Caenorhabditis elegans: one gene and its partners. Each later gene encodes a partner of the first gene's protein in a complex. Each region holds a gene or a part of one and is shown in the gene's direction. Other genes may lie near its edges. The genes, in order: mdt-1.2, let-49, cdk-8 and dpy-22.

The links.
Region 2: mdt-1.2 (region 1) and let-49 share a complex: the UniProt entries of both Caenorhabditis elegans proteins name them as parts of the mediator complex.
Region 3: mdt-1.2 (region 1) and cdk-8 share a complex: the UniProt entries of both Caenorhabditis elegans proteins name them as parts of the mediator complex.
Region 4: mdt-1.2 (region 1) and dpy-22 share a complex: the UniProt entries of both Caenorhabditis elegans proteins name them as parts of the mediator complex.

What each region holds. Positions count from the first base shown.
Region 1 is NC_003284.9:17,149,834-17,155,155, forward strand, and holds mdt-1.2 (Mediator of RNA polymerase II transcription subunit 1.2), read left to right. Parts: upstream 1-1,688; 5' UTR 1,689-1,689; coding exon 1,690-1,860; intron 1,861-1,922; coding exon 1,923-2,056; intron 2,057-2,760; coding exon 2,761-2,988; intron 2,989-3,052; coding exon 3,053-3,157; intron 3,158-3,200; coding exon 3,201-3,389; intron 3,390-3,436; coding exon 3,437-3,746; intron 3,747-4,035; coding exon 4,036-4,213; intron 4,214-4,259; coding exon 4,260-4,371; intron 4,372-4,498; coding exon 4,499-4,640; 3' UTR 4,641-4,814; downstream 4,815-5,322. Other genes in the region: T23C6.4 (Caprin-1_dimer domain-containing protein), read right to left, coding at 1-84. UniProt on the Caenorhabditis elegans protein: Component of the Mediator complex, a coactivator involved in the regulated transcription of nearly all RNA polymerase II-dependent genes.
Region 2 is NC_003279.8:14,818,833-14,822,167, forward strand, and holds let-49 (Mediator of RNA polymerase II transcription subunit 7), read left to right. Parts: upstream 1-1,579; 5' UTR 1,580-1,591; coding exon 1,592-1,682; intron 1,683-1,804; coding exon 1,805-1,892; intron 1,893-2,016; coding exon 2,017-2,236; intron 2,237-2,290; coding exon 2,291-2,361; intron 2,362-2,417; coding exon 2,418-2,709; 3' UTR 2,710-2,819; downstream 2,820-3,335. Other genes in the region: Y54E5B.2 (WD_REPEATS_REGION domain-containing protein), read right to left, coding at 232-564, 694-800, 870-996, 1,045-1,142, 1,196-1,390; ubc-16 (Ubiquitin-conjugating enzyme E2 W), read left to right, coding at 3,237-3,335. UniProt on the Caenorhabditis elegans protein: Component of the Mediator complex, a coactivator involved in the regulated transcription of nearly all RNA polymerase II-dependent genes.
Region 3 is NC_003279.8:8,700,716-8,706,349, forward strand, and holds cdk-8 (Cyclin-dependent kinase 8), read left to right. Parts: upstream 1-1,750; 5' UTR 1,751-1,846; coding exon 1,847-1,851; intron 1,852-1,900; coding exon 1,901-2,140; intron 2,141-2,264; coding exon 2,265-2,452; intron 2,453-2,503; coding exon 2,504-2,600; intron 2,601-2,649; coding exon 2,650-2,785; intron 2,786-2,831; coding exon 2,832-2,953; intron 2,954-3,003; coding exon 3,004-3,102; intron 3,103-3,483; coding exon 3,484-3,643; intron 3,644-3,691; coding exon 3,692-3,775; intron 3,776-3,829; coding exon 3,830-4,045; intron 4,046-4,093; coding exon 4,094-4,189; intron 4,190-4,639; coding exon 4,640-4,963; 3' UTR 4,964-5,110; downstream 5,111-5,634. Other genes in the region: tlf-1 (TATA box-binding protein-like 1), read right to left, coding at 44-159, 626-707, 812-922, 1,002-1,128, 1,205-1,242; cle-1 (Fibronectin type-III domain-containing protein), read right to left, coding at 5,271-5,339, 5,451-5,554, 5,604-5,634. UniProt on the Caenorhabditis elegans protein: Component of the Mediator complex, a coactivator involved in regulated gene transcription of nearly all RNA polymerase II-dependent genes.
Region 4 is NC_003284.9:9,819,227-9,823,930, reverse strand, and holds the start of dpy-22 (Mediator of RNA polymerase II transcription subunit 12), read left to right. Parts: upstream 1-1,657; 5' UTR 1,658-1,760; coding exon 1,761-1,868; intron 1,869-2,040; coding exon 2,041-2,148; intron 2,149-2,197; coding exon 2,198-2,421; intron 2,422-2,506; coding exon 2,507-2,750; intron 2,751-2,795; coding exon 2,796-2,893; intron 2,894-2,959; coding exon 2,960-3,136; intron 3,137-3,180; coding exon 3,181-4,704. UniProt on the Caenorhabditis elegans protein: Component of the Mediator complex, a coactivator involved in regulated gene transcription of nearly all RNA polymerase II-dependent genes.

The sequences.
Region 1 (5,322 bases):
TGCAGCTGTGGAGTTCCAGTAAAGTTGTGATGATTTGAAGTCGAATGGTTGGTTTTCTGCAGGCTGTTGACTGCTCAGCGACATTTTGTTAGCTTTAAAATTTACAGATTATAAATTCGAAAACAAGTTCGCTCAAGTGTGCAAACATCGAAAATGAAGTGGCCAATTGAAATATGAGAGTGAAGAAAGAATTGGATGAGAGAGAACTTGTAAAATCCAAAAAAAAAAACATTCGACCTAATACCAACCAGTCGAGACGAAGAATGGAAGACGGCGAGACAACGAAACCAGCAGCACAGCCGCCTGCCCGCCCTATAAATTGGACTTGAAACAGAGACGACGACGACGAGGAAACTGGTGGGTCTGGCTGCGCAGTCAATGCACACAACGGCTACACCACCAGAAAATTGAGGGAGAACACAGAGCACCGTTGTGCAATTCCTCGAAGGTCCAACATCTGTTGAGGCGAAAAAAGCGCAACAGTGTTCGAGCACCTGTTCGTCAGATGGTTCAACAAAGAGATGAAAGAACATTGAAAGATTTGTGATACATGCTATATTCGTTTTGGGAAAATTTTAGATCAGCAGATTTTTTGTTGAATTGTGAACGATTTGTGGAAAAATTCTCGAAATTTTTGAAATTTTCAGCAAAAATGTTCATAACGTTGTGAGATTGCATTGGGAATCCCACCGAAACATGGCATGTTGTGAAAATATATAAAGCTTGTTTATAAATTAGATGAAACTTAAAAAAACGGGGAAAATTTGATATTAAGCAACTTGAAATTAAGTTTAAAAAACTGCCAGGAGTCTTTGATGATTGAAAAATACCTAGTAAAAATAATGCATAATCTCACGGTATAAATTTTTTATTTGAAGAAAAATTTTAAAAATTTAAGGGTGTAGAATGACAAAAGTACGACCGTTTGTAAACTTATCAAATTTTGTTTAAGAATATGTATGTATTATACAAAAAGAAGATAAATGTGTGTAAAATCATTTTTTTAAGTGGCAGTATCATTTAGTGATTTTTAAAATGCAAAACCGTTTTCAACACACTTTTAAACTACTTTTTTTGTAATGAAAAAATTATTTTCAAAAGTATTCTCGGCAAAATATCTTAGTCATATTCAAAATGGGCTATCATTGGGAGTGTTTCCATCAAGATGTTTTCACAATTTAGTAACGATTTTCAAGCCCCAATAAAAACAAAAACTATACCGCAAATACTTGTCCAGATTCACATTAGGTCCTAAAAAATATTGTCATTCGCCCTAGGATTGAACTGAAAATATAGAAAAACACTGGCATGGAAAAGCAAAAAAAAATTTTTTTTGACAAGTTCTTCTTCTTCTCGAAATTCCCATACTTATTTTTTTCCATTAGCAATTGTAATTGTTCATCATCGTTTCCATGTTCTATGACACCACTTTTCTAATGTCTTGGCTGTGTCCTTCTCCCCTCCATTGCCCATGTTCCTCTCCCGCTCTCTCAAACACGCATTAGCTAGAGATAAGGTATCCAAGGAGTGTGCAGACAGTGTGCAAACACCATCACGGCATTTTGCGGACTTCCCTTTGAAGACGACATCTTATTTTTTATTTCTTTTTGTTTATATTTATTTTTTATTGTTAACTTTCCTCTCTTATTTGTAAATTTGTATTCAACTCGATTAAATTTCGATTTTAGAATGGTTTCCACTCCATCACCGAAAACGAAAGTTTACCTGTTGGAGCAGCGGAAGAATCAAGAGCTCAACATTGAGCATATTGACGAGGAAATGAGATTGGAACAGGTCCGGCAAGCCGCATCAAAAATGGAATGGACATCATTCGGGCAGGCTGTGAGGCGAAACTTGTTGGTAACTATTTTCTTTAAACTTATTTATTGTGAAAGACAATTTGAAAAATGCATGAATTGCAGGAAAAACGTAACACAATCGATGCTGATGGTAGAATTGACGTGCTCAACGGGATTGCGTACATGAAAACAAAAATGCCAATCGAGGAAAACAATCTGATGGAGGAGAAGATACGGGTTATGGCTGAGAGTCTTGGGTAAGTTTTCAGTTAGAGAAATGGCGTTAAATTTAGAAAACTGCCATAAAAACCTGGCTTTTTTGGAACCTAGAATTTAACTGCTAAAAATGATAGAGCATTTCCTTGCACCTATTTTTCACATGCATCAAAATGTATAATTTTTGAGTGCTCTTAAGGTAGAATTCATTTGCCGATTGAGCATTAATAACTTGGAAATCTATTTTTCGTAGCACCTGTTGCTTCAAGAAAGAAAAAAATCAAAAAGGAGTAGACCCACATATACTTCAAATTTTCTGAAACACTGTCAAGTTTCATGTTTTCTTGAAGAACCAAAATCAGTTCCACATCGGACCCTAGTTTGTAATAAAAATATTGTACTTGTATCCAAGATTGAGACGCAAACCTGTCAAAAACTAGAAGAGTTTACCGACTGCCAATTGCTAGAAAATAATCGCGTACTAAATATACAAAATTAAGAAAGTGAGCACCTACTCAATTTCTCTGAAATCTTTACACATTATTACATTTCACAAATAAATGAAAGTACTGCACAACATTTGTTTCTCGATAGACTAGTTTCCTTTTAAAAAAATTAGAAACCTGGTACGTTGGAGTCCGACAAAACTTATACATATTCCAACGTTATCCACTTGAAATTTGCCTAGCCATAACTTCTAATCGCTCAAAATTTATTAAAATACATAGCTCACTTTTATTTCCAGATGCTTGCACAAACAAACTTCTCGCGGATGGTCCATCAATCGTCAAGAAGATCTCATCATGGACTTTACTGTCAACGATGGTGAAGTGACAACCGTTGTGCTTAGTTTTTGGGAAGAGCCTTCATTCTACTCCCCAGAAGCTACAAGAATGCTCCAGTTAGGGATGTGGACAGAGCTTCGAAACCGAATCTCAGATATGCTGTTGACGTATGATAAGTTGTTGAGCAGGTATGTTGTTTGACTTTGAGCAAAGCAAAAAATAATGCTTCTAGAACTCACTCCCATTTTTCAGAGACGATCGTAGAAACTGCATGGGAGCTATGAGAATGCTCGAGATGCTTTTTGGACACTTCTCTCAAGACCCTTCCTACACTTCAATTCACAGATCCAACTATGGGTAACTTTATAATTATTTTTTTAATGAAAAATTTTAATTTTAGTTTCTACCTTCCACGTAATGATCTCCGCGCAGGGCGTGTATATTATTTGGCGGAACCACACTTTCGGAACATTCGCTCCAAGGATCATATTTTCCAGTTACAAAAGGATGATCACGAAGTTTTGCCATACTTTGAATTTTCGTTTGCCAAGCATGATAGCCCGTGTACACTTCCAGAGTTTGACACAAAGTGAGTTCATTCACATCTTAATATTATTGAAAATTGTAAATTTCCAGAGGCTGGGCAGAATCTATTGAAGCAAACGCTGTGATTTGTATGAAGCTATCCAGAGGGTTCAATCTTACTGAAACGACTAGAAAGAAGTTGGGAGCAATCAGTGCAAAGACTCCATCCGTTAAGCATTTCACAAATAGCTATCGCTACGTGACTGGAGCGGTGAAGATTGAGAACAACCTGCAGATGATTACACAGTTTGGCGATGGACAAACTCAACACTTCTACAATGTCGATGTGAACCAGTTGCGCAATGATGGTGACTCTGTGATCACTGAGATTTATTTGAAGCATTTGCAAGATTTTCATGAGGTAAGCAGTAGTAACATAGATTGTATTTTAAAAGCGCCAGTTTCATGATTCAATTAGCAAAAACATAAACATTTGAGTATCTTTTTTGTTTTGAGAAAATAAGCATACATGCTAATGCATGCTTTACATAATATGGACACACATTTTGCAACTTTCGGTTTTTTGCCACAGGGAATTATTGAACTTTGTGAGTCCGTTCAAATACTAGAAGTAGAAATATTATTTAAGACATCATTAACATATGTAGTCAGATATTCCACTACTCGATAAAAATAAATTATAATTGCAGATAATTGCAATTCTTCGCAACGAAGCCATGCATATCAGCCTTTGGGAGTCGATGATATCCGCGTGTTATGAGAAGCAGGGTATGAAAAAGCACACGGTTGCCGCAATCAAGATGGACGTTTTTCTGACAAGAGAGCAAATTGTAATCACCTTTGATACAAAATTTGCGCCGGTCAAAGGTGAGTTCTAGATAGATAAAGTGTTTAATATTAAGTAAATTTGCAGTTGTAATCCAGGATAGTGGAGTTTGTGAGGCAAAGGTGAATGTTGTGCATGCACAGACAGGCCTCCAGATTGCTGAAAAGATTGATGAAACATTGAGCAGAAAACTCAATGAGTAAGTTGAAACCGTACACTAACGCAAACGCAGGACTTGTTGCAAAGTTCCTGAGAATGTCAATAGCAGTTTTGGTGCCAACTCTTTGTCCATAGAACATCCTAGAGAAAACATTTGAAAATTTCAGAACTTGGAGCATTCCAAATATGCTTACCTACGCCGTGTCGGGTAGTGACTGCAACTTGGCAAAGATCAAAGTTCCGTTGAGAAGTGAAAACCCGGAGACTGTGGGCCCAATTCCAACTTATGCGGCTGGACGTTCCTTCTAACGGATTTTTGACTTATGATGTGTTTGTATAGTTTTTGTTTTATTATATACTTGAGCCTTATTTGATACTCATTTTGATTGTTGTGAATGTTTGAAATTAAGTTTTATATGCATTTGTATTATTTAAAATTTGCCATCTGAATTTTTCAAAGAGCTGAAAAGCAGAAAAAAATGATTAGAGGTTTTTTGCATGAATACTGAAAGTTGATTACTTAGGGTCAAAAATATCTTTAATAGTCAAACTGGGCAATATTTTCTTTAATTATGTCAATTGTAAGCTTGCTGAAAATATATAAAAGTAGCTCTAGTTGCCCAAAGACCTCGAAAGTTTACCCAAACAACTAAATTTCATAATGAGACTTTTCAAAGTTTTTAAAATATTTTACATTGCAGTTCAAAATTTCAAAAAAAAACTGTTCAATTCAGCTAAAATCTTCAATATTTATGTTTGTATGTGGCACATGGCCGGAAATCAATGTTCATTTAATGATCATTGAAATTTTGACCTTTCTTAAAAAGTTTTAAAACATTTTTGAGAAATCCGATTGCATAATTTTGTAATTTGGGATTAATATAATTTACAAACTCTGTTTAAGCATGAAAACCCAAAAAATTGATTTTTTGACAAATTCATTATTGACAGAAACTATATCCATAATTACGTATATGTTACAAATTTGACA
Region 2 (3,335 bases), on another chromosome or scaffold:
GAAAAGGAGTTCAAATTTCCAAGTCGCCGAATTTTAGACCATTGAATAATTTTAGGCCTTCACAGGAATTTAGGCTTTCTGAAGAATTTGTGCAAAATGGTATAAAAATGCAAACTTGGAATTAAATAGTATCTCATTATGCATTTTTTGGATTTTCCAAAAAATAAAGTCCAATATTAAATTTCGTGTTTGGAGGTTTTTTAAAGTAATTTTAGTCAAAAAAAAACTCACTTATCTGCCGTTAAAATCACTAATTTCCCATTTAAATTCGCAAAATTCATCAAATCATCTTTCAAAATTACAATTTTCGATTTCAATGATTGCTGTTCCACGTGAATTTCCAAAAGATCTCCATTTTGAGAGCTGATCGCCAGTGTACTATCGTCTATTTTACTGATTTTCTGAATAACACCAATTGGAATTGCAATCTTTTGCCGCAAATCAATCGAACGTTCATCATATTTCCAGCAGAACAGTGTTTGTTCGATACCGCCCGTGTAGATTCTATAATTGATTGGATCCACGCAAATGGCGAATGGACGGGCTGTATGACCGAATACTGTGCTAAAAATGGAGAATTGTGTCGATTTACGCAGCAGTTCTCATGTACTCCTCGTGAAGAAGATTTTTTTTTGAATTGTTTTAGTTGAAATCGATAAATTTAAAGTTAAAAATAAGTATTAGAAAACCAACCAAAGCGGACCACTTTCTCTGTCATCAATTGGCCACATTCGAATTGTTCGATCATCAGAAATTGTGAAAATACGTGTGGAATCCGTTACAATTGAAAAGATCATTCCCTAAAAATTGGAATAGTATAATTCTTTTTTCGGCCAACAACAAAGCTATTTCCAAGTCAAAAATCGAACTTTATGTCCTTTTCTCATAATTGGCTTCTCGTCTTCGTGTGGCTTCCAATCAATTAATTCTCCGATAACACTTCCAAAATACACGTGACAAGATTCTGCACTATTTCCGATGATTAGAGAGCAAATTCTGGAAAATTAGGAAATTGTTCCAGTATTATTTTACTAATTTACGCACGATGTGGCAAAGTAATCGCATTGAATTTTCGATAAAACGCTCAGATTTGAAGATATGCGAATTGTGAGCGAATTCCTCGATGTTACGGTGATTATTTTCTGAAAAATTGGAAAGTTGTTTGAAGTCGGCGATTTTGAGAGTAACCTTTTACCTTTTCTTTTTTGAACAACTTGCAGCCAATGATATGCTCAGGAAACTCCTCAATTATTTGGTTTTCAGCACATTTTGAGTATTTTTCATCAAATTTTGCACATGTGATGATTTTCCCGCTTAGCAGATGTTTTTCAGCTATTTTTGATTGAATAAGGTGGTCGAGAAGACATGGATTATCTTCTAATTCGTCCATTGAACTGAAAACAATTCGTTTAAGAACAAAAATAAATAGAAAAAAGAAAAAAGAAAAAAAAACAAATTTTCAAAAATAATGCAACTGCGCTCCTCCGTACTCTCACGTTTTTCATTTTTCTTTCTTTTATTATTATACTTCCCTTCCTTTTCAGCTCTGTTTTCATCGTTTTCAACTCATTTTTTTCAGTTTTCATTTAAAATGCTTCCTGGTTTTGGTGCACAAACAGTCAGCCCGTTCCCAAATCCTCCAGAGTACGCATCGGCGTATACAAGTGATCGAATCAATAATGGTAAGGAGTTTGAATTTTGAAATTTTGAAACTAGCAGTTTTTAATTCAGCAAACAGTATTTTTTTTTGTTAGAAATAAAACGCAATTTCTCTAACAGATTTCTCATACATCACTTTAACAAGATTCAGGTTCGGCACCACCTCCGCCGCATCCACTTACGGAATTCAAGGTGTACGGAGAGGAATATCGATTGGAAGATGATGTCATCGCGTAAGAAATTTTAGCGGCTATATAAAAACCAAAAACATGCTGAGTCTAGCCGAATTTTCCCACCTATTTTGCAAAAACCTTTTTCAATACGCGGGAAAAACTAGAATAAAACATTCATTTACAGCCCTCTGAAAAACGCCGGTGTTGCTGAGCTCTACAAGAACAAAAATAATTGGAAAACCGAGATGAAGAAGTTGAACAGGTCCGCCATAGTCGCATTTTTCGATTTGGTCGAAATTCTGATTCGCGCTCCCGATCACCCAATGAGAGAGGAGAAAATGGTCGATTTACACACGATATTCATTAATATGCATCATTTGATCAATGAATTCCGGCCAGTTCAGGTAGAAAAGTGTTTTAAAAATGAAATAAAATCTATATTTTTCTATGTTTTTCAGGCTCGCGACAGTGTTCGAATTTTACAAGAGAGACAAATCGAAGAATTATCGGATATTTGCAAGGATTTTAAGTTAGTCAAATCGGAATTAAGTTTTAAATTTGTATATTTTTTCTCCTTTTTTCCAGAAAATATCTGCGTGATGGTCGAGAAGTTGTCGATGACCAATTCCAAATGATCCGTGGGAAGCTTCCAGCTCCACCTCAACCTTCGGAACTGACACGTGTCAAACTGCAAGACGGAGTGCTTCATATGCTTCAGGAGACAGAAGCTTCAGATGACGTGGAAATGAAAGAGGAAGAAGGATCGGAATATAGTAAAAAGAAAGCGAGGCTGGAACTATTATCAAGAGAAGATGGACCACCGAGTGTTGTACACTTGTTAGCAAGACAGTTTCATGATATCTCACTGAAGAAATAATTAAATAATTTCATTTTAATTTATTTTACCGGGTTTTCGAACTATGATTTTGACTCTGATGATCTTCTGAAATGCTGTAATTAAAATTTCGTTTAAAAATAACTTTTTTCAATCGTTTTTTCATCTTTGTTCTGTTGAAAATGCGTCAATTCGCATTCTTTATTTCGAATTATTTTTTATACTTTTTAGGCAGCTTTCGTGTGACATAAACAATTATCTTCAGGGAATACGTTTCATTTCGAAAAACAGTGTTTTTTCTTCAAAAAATTAAAAACCTGAAAATGAGAAAACTAAAATTTTCGGTTTTTTTATTTTAGAGGAAAACGCCAATTAAAAGCGCAAAGTCGTACGTAGCTTTTTCGATTTTATTCTTTCTATAATTGGAAATTATGAGCAGAAATTATTGATTAAAAATCAATAATTTAAGCCAAAAAAACTGTAAAATTCTCTTCTCCTCGAGAAGTATACGAATTCTGCGTGAATCAACACATAATACCCCTAATTTCAGACGCCTCCACTCATCAGGAATGTCAGATGCTGCGACAAGACGACTGATGAAAGAGCTGGCTCAACTGAAAAGTGAGGCTCCAGAAGGGCTTTTAGTGGATAATACATCAACAAGTAAC
Region 3 (5,634 bases), on another chromosome or scaffold:
TTATATATAGTAAATGATAGTAAATGATAATCATGAAACATACCTGTTGTTGTTGTCGATGTTGTGCTTGCGCATAGCTTATCTGTTGTTGTCCTTGCTGATTTTGTGCCATAAATACAGCTCGATTTTGTTGTTGAATTTGATTTGCTACTTGCTGTCCTGGAATTAAATTTAAAACTCTTTTCAGTTTTTCAAACAAGAATGTCTTATACAACACGTAATGTGAGACCCAACACACGAGTTTGAAATTTTCCAGAATTATTTTGATTGTTTTCGATTTTTTTTTGTTTGCAAAAACAGTGAAAATTTAATCAATATTTAATTTTTCCTTTTGGAAAATATGTGAAACTTCAATCGTTCAAAAATCAGAAATCGAGTTATTCGAAATGTAAATGTAGAGTTAATTTGTGTCTAGAATATTATTCCAATAAAACAATTAATTATTGCAGAAACATATACGCGATTCTAGATATACGTAGTACTTGTATTCTATTGATAAAACACACGGCATCCGGAGACCGTAAATAAATTGAAATAAAACCGATTTAAAAAAAAAAATATTTTGTTTTGAATAACATCAATTAAATATTGACTATCAATTTTCTAAATAAAATTAAAAACTTACTCTGATAACCTTGTTGAACGTTATGTCCTTGCACAGGTCGCATTTGAACACCAACTGCAACATTTCGACCCGCTATCGTTCCCTGCAATTTCTTTTGAAAAATTAAAATAGTTTCGTGAATTTGAAATTTTGTTTCAATTCTTAGAATTTGTTATGTTGATTGAGAAACTGATAATAAAGACTTACTGGATGTCCAAAGTTTACTTGCATTGGTTGACCACCAGGAACTTGGCGAACATAGGCAGGACCGACACCATTTTGCTGAATCTGACGTACTCCCGGGGGTAGTTGAACTATCTGAAATAAACTTTAATTCATAAATTCAAGCATATGTCTTGTCTCGAACAAAATTTGATTATATTCTTCAAAATCTCACCCTCTGCTGTCCGTTTCCGTCGTGATGAACCGTTCGAATTCCTGCCGTTTGCACATACGTGGCATTTTGTGATACTGCACCACCAGCTTGTGCAGGCATCACTTTTTGAACGTAAGTTCTGTAATATCTTTCGAGTGTTGTTATTGGATTTCTTGATCCAAATAACTAAAACTGAACAAGCTATTTTTTAATTCAACTCATACCTCTGGTTTCCCATCATTTGATGATCACCCATTTGCATTTGAACTGATCGGCCTGTAAATTTGAGTTGTTATCTTTTGAAAACTCGACAAATGCTAAAATCTGCAACAACGAGAGAGCGAGACTTCGTGAGAACATAAGAATTTTTTGATTTATGTTAGAAAATTCTGGAAAAGTTAAGAAATATTTATTTCCGACGACCAGTTTATTTTAAATTCAGACAAAATAATATCCAAAATACAATATTCGGTTTGTTCATTCTAAACTGATTTGAGGCAAACGCGGTTACAGGATCGATTGAAAGCGTTATTCGCTGCCAAACCAGAGTATCCTCTCTGAATGTGCATTCCTCCTAGTTATTTGTCTGTTAGACATGTGGCATTTATTGATTAGTTAATTTATTGATTTTTCAGTCTTAACGCTGTGTTCTTTGGGAAGAAGAAGTGACGTTCGGCGAGAATTTGCCACAAGAAAAAGTGCTAGAAAACGAAGACCGACGAAGATGTCGTGATATTTGGTGTTTAGTACGTGGGTGCAGTGTTTGCGGACTTCCTTACCGTACACTTCAATTTTAATTTTCGTTTTTCTGGACATCGATTTTCCTGGCATAAAGACTGAGTAGTATTCGCTGTAGTAACTGAAAAATGACGTAAGTTGGAAATTTGCACTATAAATAAATCAGAAAATCCCTATTGCAGATTAATGATTGATGAAAACTTCAAAAAACAATTGGCACAGCGTCGAGAGAGAGTAGAAGACCTTTTCTACTTTGAAAATTCAAAAGAAATCGGCAGAGGAACATATGGATTAGTTTATAAAGCAGTTCCGAAAAAGCAAAATGGACAATTTCCTAACAAAGAATACGCATTAAAAATGATTGAGGGACAAGGATTTTCAATGTCTGCATGCAGAGAAATTGCTCTATTCAGAGAATTAAGGTAATTTCACCGATTAAATAATATTAATTTAAAATGAAGATTGAATTCGAGATTTTCCCCTTTTTATAATCTAAAATTCGAAAAAAAAACTGAAGTAGATATTCAAAAAAAAAAAATGTTTCAGGCATCCGAATTTAATCTGTCTTCAACGTGTATTTCTTACCAACGAAAAAAAAGTCTGGCTTTTATTGGATTATGCTGAACACGATCTCTGGCACGTTATCAAACATCATCGAACAGCTAAAAGCAAGAAAGTCCCAATTATGGTGCCACGGAATATGGTCAAAAATATATTGTTTCAAATTTTATCAGGTTTGAAATTCTAAAATCCAATTTCACTCAACTGTATTTTAAAATATTCAGGAATGCATTATTTACATTCAAACTGGGTACTACATCGAGATCTCAAACCAGCAAATATTCTATTAATGGGTGATGGACCACCTGACATGAGAGGAAGGTTTGACTGAATTTGAAATTTATGCGATAATATGAAATAATAATTCTAGGGTAAAAATTGCTGATTTGGGATTTTCAAGAATCTATGCAAATCCTCTGAAACCGATGGCTGAATTAGATCCAGTAGTTGTCACATTCTGGTACAGAGCACCTGAATTGCTTCTCGGAGCAAAGCATTATACAAAGGTACGTTGAAAAATCTATTTAATAAGGAAAAAATGCATAATCTCAGGCTATTGACGTATGGGCTATCGGATGCATTTTTGCCGAACTTCTTACCGCTGAACCATTATTTTTCTGTAAAGAGGAAGACATCAAGGCACAAAATCCATATCACTATGATCAAGTGAAAAGGTACAGATTTTTTGGAAATTAAAATCATTAACTATTCGAAATTTTTAAAGAATATTCCATCTACTCGGATACCCATCAGATGCTGATTGGCCTGATATGAAGAAAATGCCGGATCATCAAAGACTTCTAAGCGATGCTAGAAATGAAGGGTAAATTATAATATAAAAGTTTTCAAATTTATTTTGATAGATTACTTAAAGGCACATTATTTTTTTCAGTAGCGTGAATGGCTTCAATGAAACCGAATTAGTCTCAAATTAGGAAATACCACAAAAAAAGGAAAAAAAAATCGCGAAAGAATTAAAAATCCAAGATTAAAAAACGAGTCGCTGATTGGTCGCAGTTCTCATTTAGGTGGCAATTCAAACAATTGAAAATCGCGATTTCAAAAGTTGGTTTTTCATTCTTGCGATTTTTTCCATTTTTTGTGGCATTTCCGAATTTGAGAGAATTTCGGATGTGTGAATTTGTATTGCAATATATAACGGCTTTAAAAAAGTTTTACATAATTATAAATAAACAATTTTCAGAACACCAATTCAAACATTTCCAAACAGCTTGCATCGATACTTTGATAAATGGAAAATCAATTCACAAAGCTCTCCATATAGATTACTTGTCAAATTGCTCACAGTTGACCCTACAAAACGTGTCAGTTGTGAAGAAGCGATGAATGATATTTATTTTAGAGTTCGTTTGAAATTTAATTTGAATAATATTTGAAAAAACCATTTGCAGAAAATGGAAAGACCACCAAGGGAGACTGACGACGTGTTCAATAAATATCCAATTCCATACGCGAAGAAGGAACAGCAGATGACGGTAAGGGCATCAATTGTTGAATACACTGCAAATGTTCCCAAGATTCTTTTACAGGTTGCACCAGATCAAGCACAACAACAGCATCAACAACAACAAGTTCAAATGCAACAACAACCACAAATGGGACAGCAACAAATGATGGGACAACCTCAAATGGTACAACCTCAGATGGGACAACCACCAATGGGTGGAGCACATCCCGGAGTTGTTGCTCCAGATGGACATCCACATCAAATGATGCAGCAACAACAGCATCCACAACAGCATCATGTCAGTTTTCTAAATATTCAGAATGAAAAGTTAACTTTTTCTGTTCAGATGCAATATCAAGGAATGCATGATCCAATGCAAGGTGGAATGGATGAAGGACCACAAGCAAAAATGATGAGAATGGGAAATGTTCCTGTTGGAAGAGTAAGCTTTTTAATTAGAAAATAATAATAAAAAACATAACATGGCTGAATATCATAATTAAGGATTTCAAATTTTCAAAGTTTTTGTAAATTTCCAAATTTCGCAAATTTTGATAGATTGATTGTTGAATTTGCAAATTTTTGTAAAATGATTTATAATTTTTTTGTTGGTAAATTGCCAAACTTTCAAAAATTGAAATTTCTTGAAATATTCGTTAATCGTTGCAAAATAGTAGATAGAAACTAATTTTGATAATTTTTGGTTTATTTCCAAATCATGGTAGATGAAGTAATTTTCACTTTTTACTGTAGGTAAAACTATTTTGAAAAATTGTTGAAAAGCGTTACTAGGATATTGGGTCATTTTAAGATCATAGGAGTGATTTTCATCATTTTTCCCTATGGCAATACTCCACTTTTCAAATTCTTATGTTCAATTCTACAATTGCAGTATGCACCGATGCCTCCTCCATACGGTGCTCCACAAGACTATCACCCGCAACAAGGTCCACCAATGGTGCAAATGATGCAACAACCGGGACCATCCGGCTACTATCCACAACGACCAGGACAACCAACAGGAGCAGTTCCTGGACCAGGACCTCAAGGATATATGAATCCACAAATGGGAATGCAAATGGGCATGCGTGCTCCAGGAGTTCCACCACAAGGATATATGCCTGGTCGTGGAATGGCTCCCCCTCAAATGGGACAACAGCAACCCGGTCCAAATCAACAGCAACAACAGCAATGGCAACAACAATATCATCGATAAACATTTCATTTGTAACATGTATGTATCTATAGTACTCACATCAAACTAATATTGCTCGTCATGTGTAATTTGAAGGCTTTGTAAATTGTATTTTTTTGAAATACGTTCACAATAAAATTGAGAAAATACGTGGCAGTTATCAAAATCAAATTCGGAAAGATTTTTTTGGTTTAATTCAAAATAGAAAACAAAGCAAAATGAGTGAATGAAGCCGTTTTTCAGGGGGGGTTCGAGATTTTTTCATCGTAAGGTTGGGGTATAATCATTTAAAACAATTTTAAAATTGAAATTCTATATTGGAAGTCGTTCATTTTTTGAAGTCGGATGTGATTCGATGCAAGCGGAGAATTCGGTCACCGTGATACTTGGACATGTTCTGCAAACATTTTAATTTTAAGATTTTAAAGCTGTTTGGAAATAATATTTCTTTTTCTCTGATGGTCTCACAACGATCGTTTGAACACTTCAATTTAAATAAAAAACGAACCTCAACACACAATACCACTAATTTATTTTCACATTTTTCGGATCCACTTGATTGGAAAATGCTTGTATTCGATGAGATGTGACCTGCCAAAGAAGTCAGAGATGCTGCAATAAATTATATTCTAAAAATTGTCTTCAATTTCTCAAAAATTACAATCGGCTCTTCTCCATCCATCACAGTATTG
Region 4 (4,704 bases), 7.3 Mb from region 1:
CATTGTATTGTTGACTACTTTTTCAACTTTATTTCTTTATCGTCTTAAATTTTTAAAGAACCAGTGTTCCATTTTTTCATTTCCTCATATTTTTCTTCTACTTCTCAATTGTCTTCAAGCAATTCCTGATCATTTTTATTTTGTTTCGTGTTTTTGATTATAAATTATTTATATACAAACACACAATTTTCAAACAATTGTGATGCGTGATAACATCGCTGAATTGTATTTTTGAAATTATAAAAGAAACGCGGAATACAAGACCTAATTACTAGAATTTACTGAATTTAAATAAACACTTTTTAGTGATTTATTTCGTTTTGAAAATTTTCCGCGATCCTGATTTGAAGAATTATAACAATTTCAATCAATTCTAATTTTTATTTTCAATATTTTGTTCAAAGTTCAAAACGATATTGTGGAGTTGTAAAAAAAATTAAAATATATATTCAAATATGCATTACATTGAAACATCAATCGGGGGATTTGCCCTATGACATTCTGAAATGAAGAAACTTAGAGTTTTTTTCTTCCGTTTTCATATAATTTTATCTGACATATGACATTTTCTCTCATCATTTGTCCTTTCTCATAAATTTAAATTTGCGAGAATGTGATTCTAACTGCAGACAATACCCAGATGTTGGAATTTTTTGCGCGTAAGGTCGTTTTTAGCTTAGTTTCAAAAAAACTTCGCTGGTTTTTTGTATAATATCAGTAAACTGCCTGAACATCCGAAACCATATTCTGAAACAACGCGCATTAAAGTTATTAAAATTGCACATATTCAAATAACAAATATTATCAGTTCATGCTGATCTGTAGGTGATATGCATACTACTTGATTTCCTTTTTTTTTTTTGGGTTCACCATCTTGGAATATTAGCTCATTCACAACTCCCAAAAAAGTCTACTTTCTTATCGTTCTGAAAGTTGAAGTTTTAACGTATTTACCATTTCTTACAACAATACAATTTTCCCTGCAATTAAACAAACGACTTATGAGTGGACCATTTTGAGAAAATAGCGAGACAGTTCCGATCGATGGGTCTGTGTGCCTTGCTGTGCAGCACTCTCCATCTCTGCGTCTCTCTCTTCCATCAGTGTATTTCTTGCTGTGTTCTGTGTTCTCAGGGGCCAATTCTCTATTTCTTTCCAACTGCCTGCTACTCGCCGTTTGTGCGTTTCTTCCTCGCTTCTCTGCGTCTTTTTTACAGCCATCTTTGAATGTCATCATCCGTACTGGGGTTGATGTGTTTCTTTACAATCGATGAAAGGTGCTTTATGAATACATCTCTGTCCACATGTTGAGTTTAATTTTTCACTTTTTTTAAAAGCTCACATTGTGTTTTTTTAACTAATTGGGAACCCACAAAATTTTGAATATTGGATTTTGAACACAATTTTAGAGTTGGAAAAGTGAACTAGACATGAATGATGATATTCCAAAAAAAAAACTTTTTAATACTTATTTTTTTCACAATATTTTCTAAATAAATAGAACCCACTTTCCTTTAAATTCTTATTCGTTCCTCCTTTCATTTTTCTGTCAGTTTTTATGTTGTTATCACTTAAAAACGTCGCCTGATTGTATTTTTTCTTTTTCTTAACATATTATCTTCAAAATTTGGGAAGTTATTGCAAATAAAAAAATTTTAGCAATCATTTCGTACCCATCGACGTCAGTGGTAGACGACGAGGACGACGTCTACCCCGAGGATGGCGTCGCCTCGTGGTTTGACGAGCAGCCCGGCGAACGTATGCTCCGGAAAACCAACCTTCGAATGGGAACTGCTGATGTGTATAAACAAAACAAGAATCAAGAAGAGGATATGTTGACAACGGAACGATTAAAGAAAGGATATCAGGTGAGTGTCGTGCCAGGGCGAGGAAAAAGATGCTCAAACAGAGTGCAATGTAACTATGGAGGTACTAGGGGATGATTAGCTTGGTGTGTGGCTAGATGTTTGATGAGCGTAAAAAGAAACAGAGAAAGCACACGTGAGGATATGAATTATACAACCCGAGTTTTGATTTTAGATGCCATTAACGCAATACGAGCTTCAATCATTGGTTTTCAACGCATCGGAAAATAAGCTAATTCGTCTGGAGAAAGCTCAAAAACGATCTCAGTCTATGATTGCTTCTGTGAGTCATTTTCAACAATTATATAAGTGAGTAAATATGTTAATTTCAGGTTATTCACAAAAAAGGAGAGTTCCACATGAATTATGACAGAGAACGTAAAATTCCAAAGGAACAACTTCCGTGTTTTGCACCACATAACTGGAAACGAATTTTGTCAGATCGAGTGAAATTCTTTTCGGCATTAGCTAGAGGAACTCCTCTTCAACAACTTTCACAAAGAATCCCTGGATTTAGAAGGAAAGAACTGCTCTTTTTGGAGTTTAGCGATTATAAGTGAGTTGTTTTTAAAATTCACAATTAAAACAAATGTGAATTATACTGTGCTAACTGAAGAATGTTCTAAAGTTGCCTATTTCAGCATAAGCTACGATCGGGCAATATGGTGTGTGAAACTTCTTTGTATCCTTGGTTTCAACTCTTCAAGCAAGACACAAAAGAAAACATTACTTGACGTTGCAACTCTAGAACTGAGCCAAGCATGCAACAAAACAACAATTTGGCTCGTAACCCAGCTTTACAAATCTTTTCGAAATCCCATAAAACGAAGAGAGGCTACTAAAACATGGAATTATTTGACTGGATTCATGAAGTATATGTTTGATGTAAGAGTTTTATTTTTAACAGAAATTTTATTAGTTTTGTTATAGGATGGTGTCCTTGATAAACAGGAGTTTCTCAACGATCTCACGGAAGTTTTCAATCAGTTGTTTTTGCAGAAAAACTTTAAGAACCCTTCAGTTTTAAGGTAAGCACTGCAAACTTTTCCAAATTAGATAACCCATGAACTGATATTGTATTAATAACATTTCAGCACATTCATGAAATATTATGTGTATTTTGTCGAAGATCTCAGCTCCAGTCTGGTGTTAGCTAGACGGTCCTCCACTCTGCTTTGCCAAGCACTTGGTTTTCTATTCGAAATGGCACAGGATAAAAGGAAAATTGATGCGTACTACGATTCTGCTAATAAAACTTTCATTAAGAAAGAGTAAGACTTAAATTTATGAGAGTTACAAAAAATCAAAAATTCAGATTTGAAAATGAAGATGGCGAAATTTACGAGTTTGAAGATTACGATGACTTCATTGATATGTTGGACGAGATTCCTGATGTACCCTACTTTGATGAGACTGACAAAACACCAGAAGCACAAGCTGAAGAACTTATCAAGCAGCATGAAAAACGAAAGGCAGGCTCACTCAAAAAGTCTGAAAGGAGGAGAAGAAGAGGATTGTCAAAAAATCGGCCAAAAAAAATGCCACAGAATCCTTCGAATGAAGCTTCTCTTGATCACGATAAAGTACAGATTAAACAAGAACCGATGGACTATGATGAGTATGGAGGTCAACAATCAGACAATTCTATGGATTATGACTCTTTCTCACATCAATATGATCCATCATATGAGCCTTTACCTTTCAAGCCACTTCACACAGATATTCCAAAAAAACTCACTGACGATGAGGAGTTCAAGTACATGAAGATAGGCAAGAGATCTGTCACTCCTGAACGTATTAGTGGTCGCTATGGTTCAATGACGTATCCTTTCTGGATTCAGCAGGGCGGAGTTGGAATTGATCCACCAAAAGATGAAGTACTGGATTTCTCCAATCCAACACCAACGGAAACTGTCAACACGCAGCCACAAATTGATTTTGAATCATCTCCCAGCGCTTCGCCAGCTCTTTCTGTCGATAAAGAAAATGAATGTGAAAAGAAAGAAGATGAATCTAAAACTAAGGAGAAGAACAAAGATAAGGAGAAAGACAAGGAAAAAGAAAAATCTGTTGATGAGCATACGAATGATCTGGATGTTCCGATAAATCCTGACGATGCTGAAATGGCTGATGCAAATGATAAAACCGATGCTTCTGAAAAACAAAAATTAGTTGAAGAAGAACCTACCGGCAAAGAAAATGAAGATGATACCAGTTCAAAAACGGCAAAGACGTCTACATCAGCAGAGAAATCCGAAGCTCCCTCCATTGTCGATTCTAATGACAAAATTGATAAGGAGCCAAATGCAAGTTCAACAAGTAACGATGAAACTTCTAAAGATGACACAGTTCCCATGGAATCAGATCCACCAGCTGCCACTGAAAAACCAAAAGAATCCACTGAAATTACCACCGAGGAACCACTGGAAGTCGACAAAGCGCCTGAAGTTGATAAGTCTGAGAAAGAACACGAAGATGATATTATGATCATTGAGTCCAACAAAAAAGCAGACGAGGATGACTGTGTTGTTATAGCTGTGGTGGATCCTGATCAGGAACAAACTCCGGAAAGTGAGAAGAAAAAAGATGGCGAAGAAGAAAGGGACAAAAACAAGGATACAGATGTGGCGGATAACGAACCCGAGAAAATTTATACCGACGAGGAACTCGCTGAAATCAAAATCCGCAAAGAGAAGGAAATGAAAATTGCAACTTTGGCTTCCCATATCAAAGAGAAAATGGTGTCAGACAAAAAATGGAAAGAGAAAACTAGCCACGCAGGATGGAGAACACTTGATCAATGCAGTCAGTTCAGTGAAGCGCTTCATTTGCTCTCAAG